4 linked regions of the Mus musculus genome follow. The protein of the gene in region 4 interacts with the protein of the main gene of each other region in a pairwise test. Links are inferred from orthologs where the notes say so. Each region holds a gene or a part of one and is shown on either strand. Other genes may lie near its edges.

What was found.
Region 1: the proteins of Grb2 (region 4) and Prrc2a interact in a two-hybrid assay, tested with the Homo sapiens proteins (2 studies listed by BioGRID and IntAct). The link is inferred for Mus musculus from reciprocal best matches to the Homo sapiens genes GRB2 and PRRC2A.
Region 2: the proteins of Grb2 (region 4) and Hnrnpc interact in a two-hybrid assay, tested with the Homo sapiens proteins (2 studies listed by BioGRID and IntAct, with this or other methods). The link is inferred for Mus musculus from reciprocal best matches to the Homo sapiens genes GRB2 and HNRNPC.
Region 3: the proteins of Grb2 (region 4) and Helz interact in a two-hybrid assay, tested with the Homo sapiens proteins (2 studies listed by BioGRID and IntAct). The link is inferred for Mus musculus from reciprocal best matches to the Homo sapiens genes GRB2 and HELZ.

Annotation. Positions count from the first base shown.
Region 1 is NC_000083.6:35,161,972-35,166,362, reverse strand, and holds the start of Prrc2a (protein PRRC2A), read left to right. Parts: upstream 1-1,485; 5' UTR 1,486-1,628; intron 1,629-3,316; 5' UTR 3,317-3,379; coding exon 3,380-3,491; intron 3,492-3,666; exon of another isoform or gene 3,667-3,800; intron 3,801-3,983; coding exon 3,984-4,161; intron 4,162-4,391. UniProt on the Homo sapiens protein: May play a role in the regulation of pre-mRNA splicing.
Region 2 is NC_000080.6:52,072,916-52,076,525, reverse strand, and holds the end of Hnrnpc (heterogeneous nuclear ribonucleoproteins C1/C2), read left to right. Parts: intron 1-799; coding exon 800-913; intron 914-1,089; coding exon 1,090-1,271; intron 1,272-1,365; coding exon 1,366-1,446; 3' UTR 1,447-3,149; downstream 3,150-3,610. UniProt on the Homo sapiens protein: Binds pre-mRNA and nucleates the assembly of 40S hnRNP particles. Interacts with poly-U tracts in the 3'-UTR or 5'-UTR of mRNA and modulates the stability and the level of translation of bound mRNA molecules. Single HNRNPC tetramers bind 230-240 nucleotides.
Region 3 is NC_000077.6:107,546,650-107,550,838, forward strand, and holds the start of Helz (probable helicase with zinc finger domain), read left to right. Parts: upstream 1-1,283; 5' UTR 1,284-1,332; exon of another isoform or gene 1,333-1,345; intron 1,346-2,696; 5' UTR 2,697-2,752; intron 2,753-4,189. UniProt on the Homo sapiens protein: May act as a helicase that plays a role in RNA metabolism in multiple tissues and organs within the developing embryo.
Region 4 is NC_000077.6:115,705,707-115,709,828, reverse strand, and holds the start of Grb2 (growth factor receptor-bound protein 2), read left to right. Parts: upstream 1-1,231; 5' UTR 1,232-1,435; intron 1,436-4,122. UniProt on the Homo sapiens protein: Non-enzymatic adapter protein that plays a pivotal role in precisely regulated signaling cascades from cell surface receptors to cellular responses, including signaling transduction and gene expression.

The DNA of each region.
Region 1 (4,391 bases), on a different chromosome or scaffold from region 4:
CCCATGCATGTCTCTGGTACTTCAAACTGTTACTGATGACCACTGGAGAGATGGCTCAGCACTTGCTGTTCTTTCAGAGGACCTGGATTCGATCCCCAACACCTACATCTGGGAACTCACAATCACCAGTAATTCCAGTTCAAAGAGATCTGAACTCCTCTTGGTACAGGAACCAAGAACCCAGGTGGCACCAGGAACCCACTTGGTACATATGCATATATGTAGATATGCATACAAATAAAATAAAAACAAATAAATGTTTCTAGAGTTAGGAAAATGGCTCAGCGGATGAAATGCTTGCTAACAAGCATGAGGACCTAAGTTTGGACCTCCTGTACTCATGTCCAGGCTGGGCAGATCACTCCTGTCTGTAACTTCAGCACCGGGATGCAGAGATAGAAAGATCTCAAGCTCTTTGGCCAGTCCATATGGAATCTGAGCTCAGCCATCCAAGTATCAAGATTCACTGAAAGATGAAAAGAATGTCTCAAAAAATAAAGTGTTTGCGCGAGCCCTCTGGACGTCAACCTCTGGTTTGTAAAGGCCAGTGAGCACCCACCAATATACATAAAAATTCACAGGAAAATGTTGAGTAAGTGTAAGTGTGGTGAGAGGCAAAGATTTCTACAGTCAAGTACTAAGAAACAAAGAGGGGAAGTAGTACGACCTTTAAAGCTGAAACTCATTGTTGAAGGAACATTAATTATAAAAACAGTTTTTAAAACTATTGAGCATAAAAATTAAATGTCAAATATCCGCCGTAGTTAGTCGCTGCTAAAATTTGGAAGAGTAGGTCATTCCTTGCCTTTGTTCAAATTGTTTGCATATATTATGCAAATACCCAGAACCATTCGAAGAACGCCTACTCGAAGAAAGTCAATGATACACTCCTCTGGACCCTTTGATTGGCTTGCCTATCCACTTCATTTGCATGACGTGATTTGATAACTGGAAAGCCCCGCCTCCCTGACGCGTTTACCTCTCACGAATGGACACCAGACCTGAAATTCTTCCAGGGTCTATGTAACTCCGCCCTCGACTAACTAATCCCTTCCATTCGTCGCAGTTCTTTCCGTCTTCTCCGCTGAGAGTGACCGGGGCCTAGCATCCCTTCCCTGCGTGTCTCTCGGCTCCCAGCCGTCCGCGGACCAACTACGCATGCGCATCCTTTTTCTCCCACCATCCGTCGTGTAAATTCTGCGCCCCAACGGCCTCGCATTCCGCCCGGTCTACGCGTCTCAACTGCCGACGCCAAGACGTCTCCCTAGCCAACCGGCGTCCTAGCGTCTGTAAGTCCCTCCCCTTTATGCAAATATCCTCCACACACTGCCTTTATTTTTTTAAAGTAGGGACAGCCCTGAAGAGCGGAGGGGTCGGAGAGTAAGGGCTCCGCCCCCTATGCAAATAAGGGGGCGTGCCCAGCCGCGGAGGGAGGCGGGAGGTGGGGGGTGTTCCCGGGGGCGGCGGTTGCCCGGATGGGCCGTTAGTCGGAGCCCAGCCGCGGAGTGAGCGAGGGAGACGGGAGGAGCCGAGCGCGGCGCCATCCGCCGCCATCCGCCCCCGCCCCGCCGCCATCCGCCCCGGGAAGCCTTTGAGCCCGGGTCCCGGACCCCCACGCACCCGGCTAGGTGAGTCTGGGCGAGCTGGGCGCTGACGCCCTTTCCGGCGCGGGGCGGCGGCAGCGGCGGCGGCGGGCCGGGGGAGAAGCTGCCATCAGCCGCCGCCATCTTGTCCTCCTGCCGCCGGCCTGCCCCTCCCCCTCGGCCTGCGCCGGCCGCTCCCAGGCCGCTGTGGAGGGCTGGGGGCGGCCGCGGCCCAGCAGCCTGCTCCTCAGGGCACGACCGCGCTCCAGGCCGCGGTTCCTGCTCGCGTCGCGCCCTCGGCCCCTCGGCCGGCCCGGGGCCCCTCCGCCGCCTGTAGACCTACCCTTTGAGGGGCTCTTGGTGTTTCTGGAGCCCTTGCTGCCACCCGGCGCTATGGCTCCCGGTCTTTCTTGGTCTTTGCGTCGAGTCACTCTGGTTCTGGAGCCCCGCTTTCGGCCAGCATCTTCGCCTTTCTGCGTCCCCCAAGCCTCTGCGTTCCCTTTTCCCCCCATGGCCCTATCTCCTCCTCTTCCCTCTTTTCTTCTGAGCTCCCCTGACACTGCCCCTTGTCAGCCTTCCTCAGCCGTTCCTGCTTCCCTCCCTGCTTTCTGCTTGATTCTCTCTTTAGCAGTTGAAATCTGTCTGCTCTACGGTTTTTCTGCTTTCTCCCCCTTTCATGGTAGATTTCAGATTGCCTTCCTTAAGTGCCTAGAGAGCAACCCCTGTCTTCTTTTCTCTGGCTTGTGGTAAAGTTAGTTCTCTCCCCGATTTTGGCTTTCATCCTAGGCCTGCATGCTTTCTTGCTATCTTCCATCTCTTTTTCACACTGTTCCCACCCACAAATGAATGCCCGGTCACTCGAGGATGGATTCAGATGTAGAGTTTTTCCTGCCTGAGGAGTAAGGGCTGTTAGGGGAACAAATGACTGCTTATGAAGAGACTGGATGAGGATAAAAATGGTAGTTGGTTCTGGGTTTGGCCTCTGCTGCCTGGCCCATGGTTACAGGGTGTTGTCGAGGTAGCTCCGTCATGCTGTGGTTTTCCTCAGTTTTACATGGGGTCCACTAGTTTTTTGTTTTTTTGTTTTTTTCTGCCAGCAGAATTGTTTCCAAGAGCCTGTGTGGGGGCTATGTAAGGAATAGATGGAATATTTTGCATCCAGGGGTTCTGTGGAGCCCCTGTTGTTTAGTAAGGCTTAGTCTGGCACCAGCTCCTGGTCTGAGAGCAAGCTCATAAAAATCCTTAAGCTCCCAGCATACCTTCCTTCAAACCTCCCAGATGGGACTTAAGGCTGCTGGGAATGAAACCTGGGACACAGGGCCCTGGGGCGTGATTAGGGAGCTGGTGTCTAATAGGTTGACAATCTGAAGTTCTTGTACTTGCTCGATAGAGTTGTGTACCTCATTCTGGTTTTCTCTGGGGCTTTGACTTGGTTGTTCAATTTAATCGTATGTCTCTGAAATTATTTTGGAGGAGTGTAAGATTAGTTGCCATTTCTAAATGGCACAAAGGATAGATGGGTAAGATACTAGGTTGCTACTTGGTTTTCTTTGTTGGGATATGTCAGGGGGAAGGGGGCTGTGGAAGCCAAGTGGATGGTGGTTGCTTAAGAGACTGTAGTGTTTTACACAAGCCAGAGAACCAAGTATTTGGGCCCTAAAGAGAATGCAGAGAGCTTCTAAGCTTTTGTCTGAAAGGGGCAGAACCTGAACTGCCTACTGTCTGGCCCACAGGCACCGGCTCGTTTTGGGGGAGGTGCCTGCAGGACCCAACGTACTCAATGAGCTTCCAGCGCAATGTCCGATCGCTCGGGGCCGACTGCCAAGGGGAAGGATGGAAAGAAGTATTCCTCGCTCAACCTGTTTGATACGTATAAGGGCAAGTCCTTAGAGATCCAGAAACCCGCTGGTGAGGGTCCTGTCCTGTAAAGACGTTCCTGATATTTGCAGGCTGAGCATGTGTGGGATATAGGCTTTAGAGCTCTCCAACAAAGGCAACTAACAGACCAGATGAATACTGGAGACCTCTCAGTTTCATCTTCAGTGCTGAAGGGGGTGCTGGGCTTTGGGTGAAACACAGCTTATCCTCCTACAAAGGCGTGTTTTTGGTTCCCTGTCCTTGGACACGTAAGAATCGGAGGCAAAGTAATGTGGTGGATTTGAAAAGGTCTTGGACCAGCTTGCCCCCCGCAGGCTCAGGATCAACCATCCCACAGATGATTATGCTGTATCTCACCTTTCCCAGGAGAGCTTAAGAGATTATTGAGTAATGGAATGGTTTCTGAGAGAAGCCTATAGTGAAAAGATGGTAGGGTTGTCTAAACGGGATTTGTTGACGGGACGCTGTTAGGTCTCCCGTGTGAGGTCTTTTTGATCCTTTTTCTCTCCACCGTTTCTTCAGTTGCCCCTCGACATGGCCTGCAGAGTCTCGGAAAAGTTGCCATTGCCCGGCGCATGCCACCCCCAGCCAACCTTCCAAGCCTGAAAGCCGAGAACAAAGGCAATGACCCCAATGTCTCACTAGTGCCGAAAGACGGAACAGGATGGGCAAGCAAACAGGAGCAGTCCGACCCCAAGAGGTAGATAGCTGTGGGACTTCCTGAGGCTCGTAGCTTTGAGCTGGGGAGTGTGTTAAGGCATGAGACTGAGAGAAGCACCTTCTGCACCTAGTTTGTTAGATGACTAAGAATTGAAACCTTAAACTTTGATGGAGAGAAAACAGGAAGAAACAGGCGAGGCCTGTGTACCAGTTGCTTTGTCCTAGTGTTTGTAGATAGTAGCTAGGCTTGGGTCAGCCCCAGCTTTGTAC
Region 2 (3,610 bases), on a different chromosome or scaffold from region 4:
CATCTCTCCAGCCCAACACTGTTCTTAATCTCTTAAAACACCTCCTATATCCTGTGATAGAGAGCAAGGTGACACCTGGCATTGGTCTCAGTTTACCCAAAAAAATACAAACCAGGGAAGAGGGGGAAAGAATGTTGTTTAAGGATTGTAGTCTGAGTTCTGTACTTAATAGCTTGGTTAATTTTATAAATGTTTATGTTGAACTAAATTTTAGCTAGGGCATACTCTTGGTTGTCAGTTTTCTATATTGATCGACATAATTGAAGTATGTCAGCAAACTATGAAAGCTGAGAAAGTAAATAGAGCAATTGCAGTATCTTAGTTGAAATTCTCAGCTTAAGTTTTTTGTTTTGTTTCTTTTTAAAACAGAAGTAAAGCTGGGCTAATCTCAGTGCCCCTAAGGAGAAATGGGGGTGTAGACAGGAGACTGAAAGCCTTCCCTGTATCGGAACACTTTCATGAACATGGGCACATACACAATGATAAGACAACTTAGAAGTTGCTATAAAATAGAATGATATTTTTTTGGTCAGGAAAATACATGTTTAGGTTAAAGTGATACTATGTAAGGCATTTATAGCTTTTTTTTAAAAATTATTTTTAAATCATTTGCTGACTAAAGATTACTAGTTACTATTGCAGTTGGTGCCTCTGTATTTCTTTCAGCTTTTTGAATTGTTAACTAGAAAAACATTTCTTCCTGTGGTTCTGAGACCTAAGGCACAGCACCTAGAAAGAACACTTTCAGTAACTGGTAAATGGTGCTTTATTCTAGTCTAACATTGTAGTTCTGTTACAGTGAAAGGTGATGACCTTCAGGCCATTAAAAAGGAGCTGACTCAGATAAAACAAAAAGTGGATTCTCTTCTGGAAAGCCTGGAAAAAATTGAAAAAGAACAAAGCAAGCAAGCAGGTAATAGTCTTTTAATTTTCTAATTGAATTTGGGTTATCTTCCTAAGGTGGTTTAATGTATATGCAAATTGGGCTGTTTGGAAGGGGCATTAATTTATTTGGAAAACTTTACTTTTGTTCTTTGATGATTAATGGGAATTGTCTATATCCTGTGGGCAACACTTGCCCCTGGACAGACTTGTCCTTCTCATCCCCAGTAGAGATGAAGAATGAAAAGTCTGAAGAAGAGCAGAGCAGCGCCTCTGTGAAGAAAGATGAGACTAATGTGAAGATGGAGTCTGAGGCAGGTGCAGATGACTCTGCTGAGGAGGGTGACCTGCTGGATGATGACGATAATGAAGATCGGGGGGATGACCAGGTGATTACCTTTGGAAAAAAGAAAGTTGGGAGGACTGGGGTCCAGGGATGAGAAGAGTACCTCTAACTCTCCCTTATTTGTGTCTTTCTCACAGCTGGAGTTGAAGGATGATGAAAAAGAGCCTGAGGAAGGAGAAGACGACAGAGACAGCGCCAATGGGGAGGATGACTCTTAAGCACATAGTGGAGCTTAGAAATCTTATCCCATTATTCATTTACCTAGGCGTTTGTGGGAGATGAAAGTAACACCAGGTCATCTCCCCTGGGGTCTTCTGCACATTCTCACTGTTGTCCCGCCTTACCCTCCCTGTGTTCATTAATTCATGATTGCCCTGCGCCTAGTTACAGTTCCACTTCCTTTGATGCTCCGTAGTACTTTCGTTAAGTCTCACCCTGTAAGTTTTGCTTTAATTTTGATACCTCTTTGACTTAACAATAAAAAGTTGTATGGTTTTTATCAACTGTCTCCAAAATAATCTCTTGTTATGCAGGGAGTACAGTTCTTCCCATTCATGACTTCAGTAGTTGCTTCCCTAACTGCAGAGGCATCTCATTTACTTGTAACCCCAAGAGCAGCTTTGCATTAGAGGTGTGTGTTTTCCCTCACGTGAGTGGGACTGTTACAACACGAATGTAACCATGTATTTTTGTGAATGGGAGTTGGCATGTCAAATGCATCTTACAGGAAAATAGTGTAATAGTCTTAATATTTGTTTTCTAAAGTTATACCATGGGTTATTTTTGTGAACAGCCTGATGTTTGGGATCTTTTTCTCAAAAATAAACAGTTCCTTATTAAACCAGGAATTTGAAGGAAAGACAATTTTTTTTTTTCCGAGACAGGATTTTTCTATATAGGCCTGGCTGTCCTGGAACCCACTTTGTAGACCAGGCTGGCCTGGAACTCAGAGATCTGCCTGCCTCTGCCTCCTGAGTGCTGGGATTAAAGCCGTGCGCCACCACACCCTGCTGGAAAGAAAGTTTTTCAATTACATTTTTTTTTTAATAGCAGCCTCCACAAATCGTTAGGTTGTATTAAATATAATCTTCATGCATACCAATATATATGAATAAAAGTCATTTTGAGAGCATTGTTAACTTTAAATATTTTTGACACGGAGTGCTTGAATGTTCAGTTACTGATTAAAACCCAGGTTTCTTTATTGCATTCTCAACCTGTGCCTCAAAAGTTTCAAAATAGGAAAGCATTTGTCTTTCCCGTTTTATATAGCATTTGCCTTCCTAAGAACTGAGTCTATAACGAGAGTTATAATTACCCATGTGAAGTACTCTTACCCCTTTTCTTGATTTGTTTGAGTCAGCTTGGAACATTTTGCTGTGTAAGACCTAACATAAGGTAAAGGTATAAACAGATTTGGGGGCTTGTTTGTTTATTTTTGTATAGCAGGCTATTCAAATCTTTTATGCACACAGACTTTCTACTTCTCAAAAAGACCCTGTTGTGTATATCTAGCATACAGCTGCAAGTCTATGCTTTCATGCTATGCATTGTAGGCAAAAGTAACCCATGATAAAACTGAGGAGAGGCTGATCTAGGGGCTTCCCTTGGCTCCAGTGTGCAAATATAAAAATGGCTTTTATTGTGACCCCCCTCTGCCCCTTCCCCTAATCTTGATATTGTCTTGGGTTTTTGAGGAATTGGCTAGATATCAGAGGTTAAAGATGCTAATAAATAAAACCTGTTTAAATATGCTGTTAGAAGCTGGTGTGTACAAAATGCTGGGGTGGGTTCAATTAGTTCAGTATTGGGTACTTTCTGATATTGGGTATTGTATTTATTCAGGTGACTCCCCCGCCCCCTCCCCCCAAAAAAAGCAGTTGGGAAATTTGAGAATAAAGACTGTGGTTCTGTCCCTTTTCATAGTTGGTATATACATCAGCAAAAGACTCAGGAGCCTGTGTCTTCATAGGAACACTAAGTGCCAGCATGTGACTAAAAAAGGGTGTCATCCCTGGCCCTCCCTCAAACTGCTGTTGCTAGTTTATTTTGGAAACTATTTAGAACTATTTAGATATTGTTAGAGAACTATTTAGGATATTTTACTGGTGGTATTAAACTAAGTTAATACTAAAACTTGTCAAGTTAAAATGTTCACAGGTTTATTCCACTATGAGAATATCTTAAGTCTTTCAAAGTTGTGAGATTTTGTTCATTTCTAGTTTTTTAAAAAAGATTGGGGTGGAAGATGGCATCAGATCTGATGTGGCTGCTGGGATTTGAATTCAAAATGTCACTGCTCCCAACCAGTGAGCCATGTCTCTAGGCCTCCTTTCTAGTTGGGAATACAGAGAATTAGGAAATAATGTAGAGGACTGGAGA
Region 3 (4,189 bases), about 8.2 Mb from region 4:
AACTCAGCAGTGCTGACACTGGAGGAAGAGAATGTATAGGGTGGGGGTGGGGAGTTAATGAACAGACCTACATTTCTGGCAGGACTAGGGCTGCAAGGAGCTGGTACTTCATGGAGCAAAAGGGGTGGTCACCTGAGCTAGGTGTTGCTCGCCTGAAGCAACGCGGGAGGGGCGGGGAAAGCGCTGGGCTTGTCTTGCAACCAGAAAGCAGATGCCCGCGGGATGCTCGCAAAGGTCTGTTGCCGGCGCACGGTCGCCTCCTACTTCCTGCGTCCTGGTCGCCTCCAAGCCACTCTGGACATCCCCCTCCTCTCTCTGCCCAGAGCCAGCGTGGCGCCCGCCCTCTACCTTGTCCCGCCGCCTGGGGTCGCCGCCTTGTGGGAACAGGACAGTTGAAACGCGGTAGGCACTACCCCCCAACCCACCCGGGGGACCCCCTCCCGGCCCAGGCGCGCATCCACGCCCCACCCGGACTCTGCAGCCGGGTTCTCTTGAGTTACCTGCATGGGGAAGTCACAGTCCACAATTTGGACTCTAACCCGGCTGAATTCTAAAGCCACATTCCTAGGGGAGGGGGTCCTCCGACCTAGAGGGTCGCAGATCACATTACCGGCCAAGAGGAGGGGACCGCGCGAGTAAACTGGGGTAAAAGTTGCATTTAGCTTAACCTTCCCAGATCCCAATTGCAGCTTTGCGGGCGGATTGACTCGGCGTTTCACCGAGTTCCTGGGATCCTAGGGCCCCAGAGTGGCTTCTTAGGATACCGACACTGTCCCCGCGCGCGAGTGCGACATGCCTGGCGGATGCCCCGGGGCGGGAAGCGCGAGCGGTAGCAAGGACCTGGAGCTGGGGGAACCGCTCGCAGGCGTGCGCATTCATGCGCTCATGCATCCCTGCATACATCTATGCATCCGCTAGCCGGCTCACACACCACCCGCGTCCGGGACACGCCGTGTTGATTGAATGCAGGAGTAGGGTATCTGGCTACTAGGGCAGGATCGCGGCGGGGCAGACAGCAGCTCGCGTAAGGAATGGGGGAGATAGGGACGGGGGTGGGGGGAAGAGAGAGCACCCCAAAGGCACAGTTGGAAAACTGGGTGTGTGAGTAGGGGTGTTCCTTGAGAAGTCTCGCAGGCGCTGAAGGGGGCCGGGCGGGCCTCTGGGGCCAACTTTCCGGAGGGAGGTGCAGCCGGAGGGGGCGGCGCCGGCGGCGGGAGGCGGGAGTCGGGGGCCGAGGGGGGGGGGGAGTCACTTTAAAGGCTCTTTCTTACCCATAATGCTTTGTGGGGACGTTGACAAGTGGATCCAAGATGGCGTAGAAAGTAATGACAGGTAAGTCCTGACTTCCCCGTTCTCCGCTGCCCGGGTCGCTTCAGGAGCCTCCAGAGCCATCCGGGGAGAGGCCCGGACTCTCCTCGGGTGCTCCGGGTCCGGGACAGCGCGGCCCCGGGGACAGCGGGGGATCCCGCCGGCCGCCGGCAGGGCCTGGGGAGCGGGGCTCTCTCAGAGGCGAGGCCCGGACGCTGGAGCTGTTTACTGTTTCTTCCCCTCCTCAATCTCCTTTTCCCTCCGCTGGGGGGCTGAGGTGCCAGGGACCCAGGCGGTGGCCCGAGGGTCCTTGCACACGCCCGAGGTTCGGGGGGACCCGGGAGCCCGCGCGAGGCTGCTCCGGCACGGGCCGACCCTGGGGTCCCCGCACGCCCCGCGCCCCAGGGTCGCGGCTTAGGGTGGGGAGCGGGCGGCCTCCCACGCCGCGCGCGGTGCAGCCCTCCGGGTTAGCATTTCCACCCAGGGTGGGGCGGCGACCCCAGGGCAGGGGACAGCACGAAAGTGGGTCAGGGGGCGCCCCTCCCCAGCAGAGGGCTCTGCTCAAGATTCACTGTGGTCCCCCTCTCCCCGCCCCCCTCCTGGGACATGCGTGGCCCGTGAGCACATCTACAAAAACAAATGCACAGTCTCTTCCTGGAGGTGTCTCCAAAGGCCCCTTTCTTTCCTTCTCTCTCTTTACCCTCAAGGGCTCGGACACATAGTCCTAAGTAGGAACTGTGATTTCTCTCCCCAAAATGAGTTGAGTCTTCTGCCCCCTGGCCTTTGCTGAGGGTCCTCACAGACAGGGCTGGAAGCCAGAGCCTTCAGATTCCTTTTGGGTTGGGAACCTTGTTTTTTTTTTTTTTTTTTTTTTTTTTTGTTGAGCTCCGAAATTGGCATCCTTTCTCCCTTGCAAAGTTACACTTTTTAGACAAGCCATTAGGATAATCAGAAGTGTAACTTCAGAGATAGTGGATGCCGGGAGCAGCCGGGGGAAGAGGGAGACGTTATCTGGCCTAGTTTGTTCTTGATTTTGCTCTCTTCACTCATATGAATAGCTTTTTTCCCCCCCTCCTTGATTTTTTTCTCCCTTCTTTTATTTTTGAAAGTAAGACTAATCAGTGTAGAATAGATGAGTTTATTATGTTTAAGGTTGAAGACTATTTTCTAATCTGTTGCTGAAAGAAAATATTTTCAATTTTAGGTAAAAGAAGCAAATTTTTTTCCCCTCCAAAGCTTCATCCTGTATCTTTTTTTTTTTTTTTTTTAAATAACTTTTTCCACTTGAAGTGTATCCATATTCTTTTACTAAAGGACTATAAAATGCTTGTAACTGGTAACAGCTCCAACTGGTGTTGCATACCATCTTCTTTTTCTGTTTGCTCCAGGAACTGGATGAAGTAATTGATCACTAATGAACTACAGAGCCGGTGAGATGTGCAAGGTGAGACTGAAGTTCAAAAACTACACCCTGTTTCCCCTCTTTCTTGTATCCAACTCAAGGGTCAGGGAAAGCTACTTTCCAAATAGATCAGTCAGCCGACTGGGATACAGGCAAGGCGAGATTTAGGAAAGACATACCATCCTTTTTAGTGGCTCCCACTTATTCATACGTACTGAAGCTTTTCTAGAGCTAAATGTTAGCTGTGGCTATATACTTGATCAATGTCTTTTCCAGGAGTAATTATAGTTTGCCTCTTCTCATTTCCTTGGCTAACTTTAATGGGATGGTCTGGATTTAATCTGTTTTCACGTCCATTGCTTGCCCTACACTGAGTATAAGAAATTGGCTAGATGAAGTCTGCACACCCACACTTTCTGGGATGTTTATGAAGTATATCCTTTTCCATCATGAATAATATTTTTCAGCAAGCAATCGCTTCTATTTTTATTTTTCTTAGTTTTTGGTTTTGTGGTGCTGGTATGTTTAAGACCTAATGGCCTCACACATCCTAGGAAAAGTGCAGAACCATTGAGCCATATCCTTAGTCCCTTCTATTTTTCCAAAGCCGAATAGTAAATGCCTGATAGTACTTTAGAACAAAAATGATAGTGTTAAGTTCTGTGTTGCTCAGGGGGTTTGACGACTCAGTCATCACTTCTGATCATATATGGTGTGTAAATTTATTGTTTTATTTATCCCATGTAATACGTTGGATCTGTGTGTGTGCCTGAGAGAGATAGAGTGGGGGGCGCAGGAAGGGAATCACTATAGTTTCTTTGGCTGGCTAAGTAGGCAAGGCTGACCTTGAACTCCTGATTGCTGTGATTAAAGTTATGTCTGGTGTAATGCCTTGGATTTAAAGGACTCTTTTTGTTTTGTTTTGTTTTGTTTTTTTTGTTTTTTTGAGACAGGGTTTCTCTGTGTAGCCCTGGTTGTCCTGGAACTCACTCTGTAGACCAGGCTGGCCTGGAGAACTCAGAACTCTGCCTGCTCTACCTCCCAAGTGCTAGGACTAAAGGCGTGCGCCACCACTGCCCCGCTAAAGGACATTTTTAAAAAAAAAATTATTTATTATATACACTGTACACTGTAGCTGTCTTCAGACACTCCAGAAGAGGGAGGCAGATCTCATTATGGATGGTTGTGAGCCACCATGTGGTTGCTGGGATTTGAACTCAGGACCTTCGGAAGAGCAGTTGGTACTCTTACCCACTGAGCCATCTCTCCAGCCCGCTAAAGGACATTTTTATATTAGTGAACAGTTCGTGCTGTGTACCAGGGAGAGAGAAGCTTGTTATGGTTTTTAACCATTTTCTCAACTTAATGATACCTTATTGTGGTTGCTTTAGAGAAATATAAGTAATTATGGTCAATTGGCTTATTGTATACTTATTTACCCCCCAACACATTTGGGCATTTAGATTTTGAAGTTCTCAT
Region 4 (4,122 bases):
CACTTGCCTTATTTTAGTGGACTCATTATTGTAGCAGAGGCTTGGGTATTCTTAACTGTATTTTGTTGGCTTCTAGAGAACACATTGACATTGGCTGTGTTCTTGCTCTCCTATAATTGAAAAGAGCTTTTGGAACTGAGAGGTACTTCTCCAAGCTTCATCTACTACTCCCCCAAAACCGGCAGCCCCGCACAGGAACCTATCTATGCACTTTGCATCGCACAGAACACGACTTTCTCACGCCTCCATCCATCTCTCTGTTCTGTGCCATTCCGTTTGTTGGCTAAGCGCTTACCCTGGCTCCTGTGCTGTGGAACTCCTACTCGCCCTCCAGTACTCAGTTCCACATCACCTTCTTTGTTAAGTCTTTTATACAGTGGGCTGAGGAACAGAGCCAGCCTTTCTCTATCTTTTTGGCTTCCTCAGCATTCCCCCAAAGAGCTATGTGTAAGTGTTATAGCTGTGTGTGTATGTGTGTGTGTGTGTGTGTGTGTGTGTGTGTGTGTGTGCGCGCGCGCGCGCGCGCGCATGAGGGTGTGTGCAGGTGAATGCTAGTGCTATCAGAGGCCAGCGGCACTAAGTCTCCTGGAACTGGGGTTACAGACAGTTGTGAGCCATCTGGTGTGGGTGCAGGTCCTCTGGAAGAGCAGCAAGCAGTTTTTGACCTGAGAGGTCTCTCCAGCCAAGACATTACTTGTTTACTCTTCTGCTGCTTCTCTCGATTTAACCTCTTGAAGGCCAGGATCTCTGCTCGTTGTTTCATCTTCTTTACCCAGCACAGTGCTTACTTACACTGGGTATGTGGTTCACTGCGTGAACAGACTAATCAAACAATTCATCGAATACTGCAGGTTGCACGAACCAGATCCCCAAACGTTTCTAGAACTGGTCCTCTATTTGGGTTGAGCCATCCTGAGATCTCTCCCCGCTCCTCGGTGCCTCTTTGCTTTGTTTTGGTAGAAAGGACGTGATTAGAGTGTGGAAAGCGCCGTTCCTCTAGAGCAGAGCTGTAATTCACTTGCTCCGGCACGTAGAGGGTTACAACGGCCCAGGGGCGGAGCCGAGTCCGTGCCACCTGCTGCGGGCCGAGCTGACGCATGCGCGAAGCCCCCCTCTAGGCTACCTGCCGGGCGGAGCGGAGGAGGAGCGCTTGCGCTCTGGGCCTTTTCCGCCGGGGGAAGTCTCGCGGGGGCGGGGCGCGGCGGGGCGGGGCCGCGTGGGGAAGTTCTCGCGGGACCCTGGCGAGGAGCGGAAGCTAGGTTGCTCTGTTGCTTCTGCGATCGGGCGGCGGCGGCGGCGAGAGCGAGCGGGGCTGCGGCCGGGACGGCGGTCGGGGCAGCGGGCGCCGCAGTCAGGGAGCAGCAGCGAGGTTGGCGGCTGCGGGCGGCAGCGCAGGGCGGGCCGGGCCGGGTGACGGAGTGGACGGCGCGTCACGGTGAGTGCAGGGGAGCGGGCGGGAAGTGAGCGGGAGCTCCGTGGTCCCCGCGCCGCGCGGCGGCGAGCGGCTCGGGCCCGGGCTGCTCGGGGCTGCCGGGGAGGGCCGCTCGCGGGCCGGGGAAGGCTGGGACCCGAGCGCAGCGGCTGCGCAGCCGTCTCCTCGTTTCCCCTTTTGGGGCGCTTCCTTCCTGGTGCCGGTCTTCCTCCCGCTGGGGGCAGAGACCCGGCCCGCCGGGGAGGTCTGGTGTGGCGGCCGTCCGGCTGGACGCTGGGGAGCCCGGAGCAGCCGAGAGGCGCAGGCTGCTGCTCTGAGTCAGGCTGACTGAGCCCGGGAGGCGGGGGATTCGGTGCCCGCAGCTAACGTGGTGATTGATGCTCCTTTGACCTGCAAGGCCACCACGTCACCGCCTCTTGGCATCTTGCGGTGGAATTGTGTGCGGGAATCCACCGTGACTTAGAATGATTGTTACCCGGACCCGCCGACGGGTCTTTGTGAGAGTTGGGCGCTTCTCTTTTTAGAAGGACTTGAGGGGGAAAAAATACTTGTTGGGGGGTGGGGGGGAAGCAGCAGCAGCAGCGGATAGGAATGCTGGAAGGAAGGAATTTTGGGGAGAGAGCCCCGTTGGTTCCTGCAACACTCTTAGGTCGTGTGGGTTGGTAAGAAAGGGATTTTAGGCTGTGTTCAAAAGCTATAGCAGTGCAGTTTGCCGGGTAGCCGAAGCGCGTTCAACGTCATCTTTCGGTGCTGTTGACACTCAGAAAGAGGCTAGAGAAACTGGGTTTTGTTGTTGTTGTTTTTTTGTTTTGTTTTTTGTTTTTGACTTCTTCACCTCTCTTTCACTTTTCCGTTTTTGCCTTCTGTCTCCATTCTACGCTACTAGGGACACGAAAAGCATCTGTAGCGCCAGTCATTGGTCCCTCCGCCCCCTTTAAAAAAAAATCTACTTCCCCTTCTTGCTGTTCCTCCGTTATAATTTTCAAGTTTCTGCTGGTTTGGGCACTGTTCATTTTCTCCGTCGTTCTAAGATCCCCTTTTCTTTTGGAGGGAGATACCTTCCCTGTTTGCATTCCTTTTTTAACGTCCACTGTATTCATCAGGCAGCCAGGAGGGCTACTTGGGAGCCAGGGGGGCGGGGGCGGGTGGTGGTGTTGGTGGTAGGGGGCTGTTTAAGTTCTCCCCCTGGGAACTAGGAAACTCAAAGGACTGAATTCATCCCTAAGTAAGTGATAGTGACCAGTTCACAAGTGGATTTTGCCTGTTTGCTTGTGTTACTTGTATTTTGGTGTTTTTTTTTTTTCACAGATCATGGTTTGTTCGTAGTATTTTCCTTCTTGCTCCCTCCTGTTTCCCCTCACTGTTAGTAAGGGAGATTGAGTCAGTTTGGGAGCTGAAAGACTCCTTTTTAAGGTTTTAGTGAGGTTAACTATTGTTAAGTGAGAAATCACCCATGGGAGTTTGTGAAGTAAGATAGCTTGAAATAGAAGAGAACTTTGATATTTGTGAATTAAAGCCTACCTACCTACCCTAACAAATGATTTAGTCCTAATCAGGCTTTTAAAAGTGATTTTTAAGTTTTTTACATTCTTGAGTGTATTTACCTGCGCGTGCGCGCGGGCGTGTGTGTGTGTGTGTGTGTGTGTGTGTACATGCCTGGTGCCCTCAGATGCTAAAGGAGGACCAATACCCCTTGAACAGGAGTTACAGAGGGTTGTGAGCAGCCATATTCTTCTCTCTGGCCCGATAGTTGGTTTTAAGCACCGTTTGCTGTGTTACTGAGGTTTTTTCATGATTTCCACTATGTCGCGTGTGTACAGCAGCCCTTAGAGAATTATGGAGTGTTAGACTTCAGAGATGGCAAAACAGAGCTGCCACTCTCCCGACAGGCAGCACTGAGAGGTAGTTAGTTACCTGCTGATTGGCCATGGTTACTGAGATTTATTGTTTTGTGATTGTCAAAGTTGATTTTCCCCTGAGTTGTGCCAAGTCTAATGTGCATCATTTTCTTTGTTCAGACATAGTGCATTATCTGAAATGCAAATTTTAAAATTTGCTTAGTGTTTCCTCATTTTAACAGTGATTCTTAAAATTTGTATGTATAAACATAACCTGCCAATTAAAAAAAATTTTATGGGCTCTCCGGAGAGATGGCTCATTGGTTAAGAGCACTGACTGTTCTTCCAGAGGTCCTGAGTTCAGTTCCCAGCAACCATATGGTGACTCACAACCATTTGTAATGGGATCTGACACCCTCTTCTGGTCTGTCTGAAGACAGCTACAGTGTACTCATACACATATAATAAATAATTCTTTTTAAAAAATTTTATTCAATTTTTTTGAGACAAGGTCTTGATGTATTGTCCAAGTTGGTCTCAAATTATTTCTCTATTGATTTTTGAGGCAGGGTCAGTGTCTCTCTGTTTAGTCCTGGCTTTCTTAGAACTCTATCTGTAGACTAACTAGGCTGGCCTTAAACTCACAGACATTCTCCTGCCTCTGCTTTCTGTTGAAGTGTTGGGATGAAGGTGTGCGCCACCATTGGCCCTGGTTTTGCTTTGAGCCATTCTGCTTCAGCCCCACCCCAGTGCTTCTGCTGCCACTTGGGAGGGGACACTGTCACAGCTAGGTGGTGGCAGAACTCAGGCAAGATTGCAGAATGTGAACGGAAGGACTCAAAATAGCTGCAA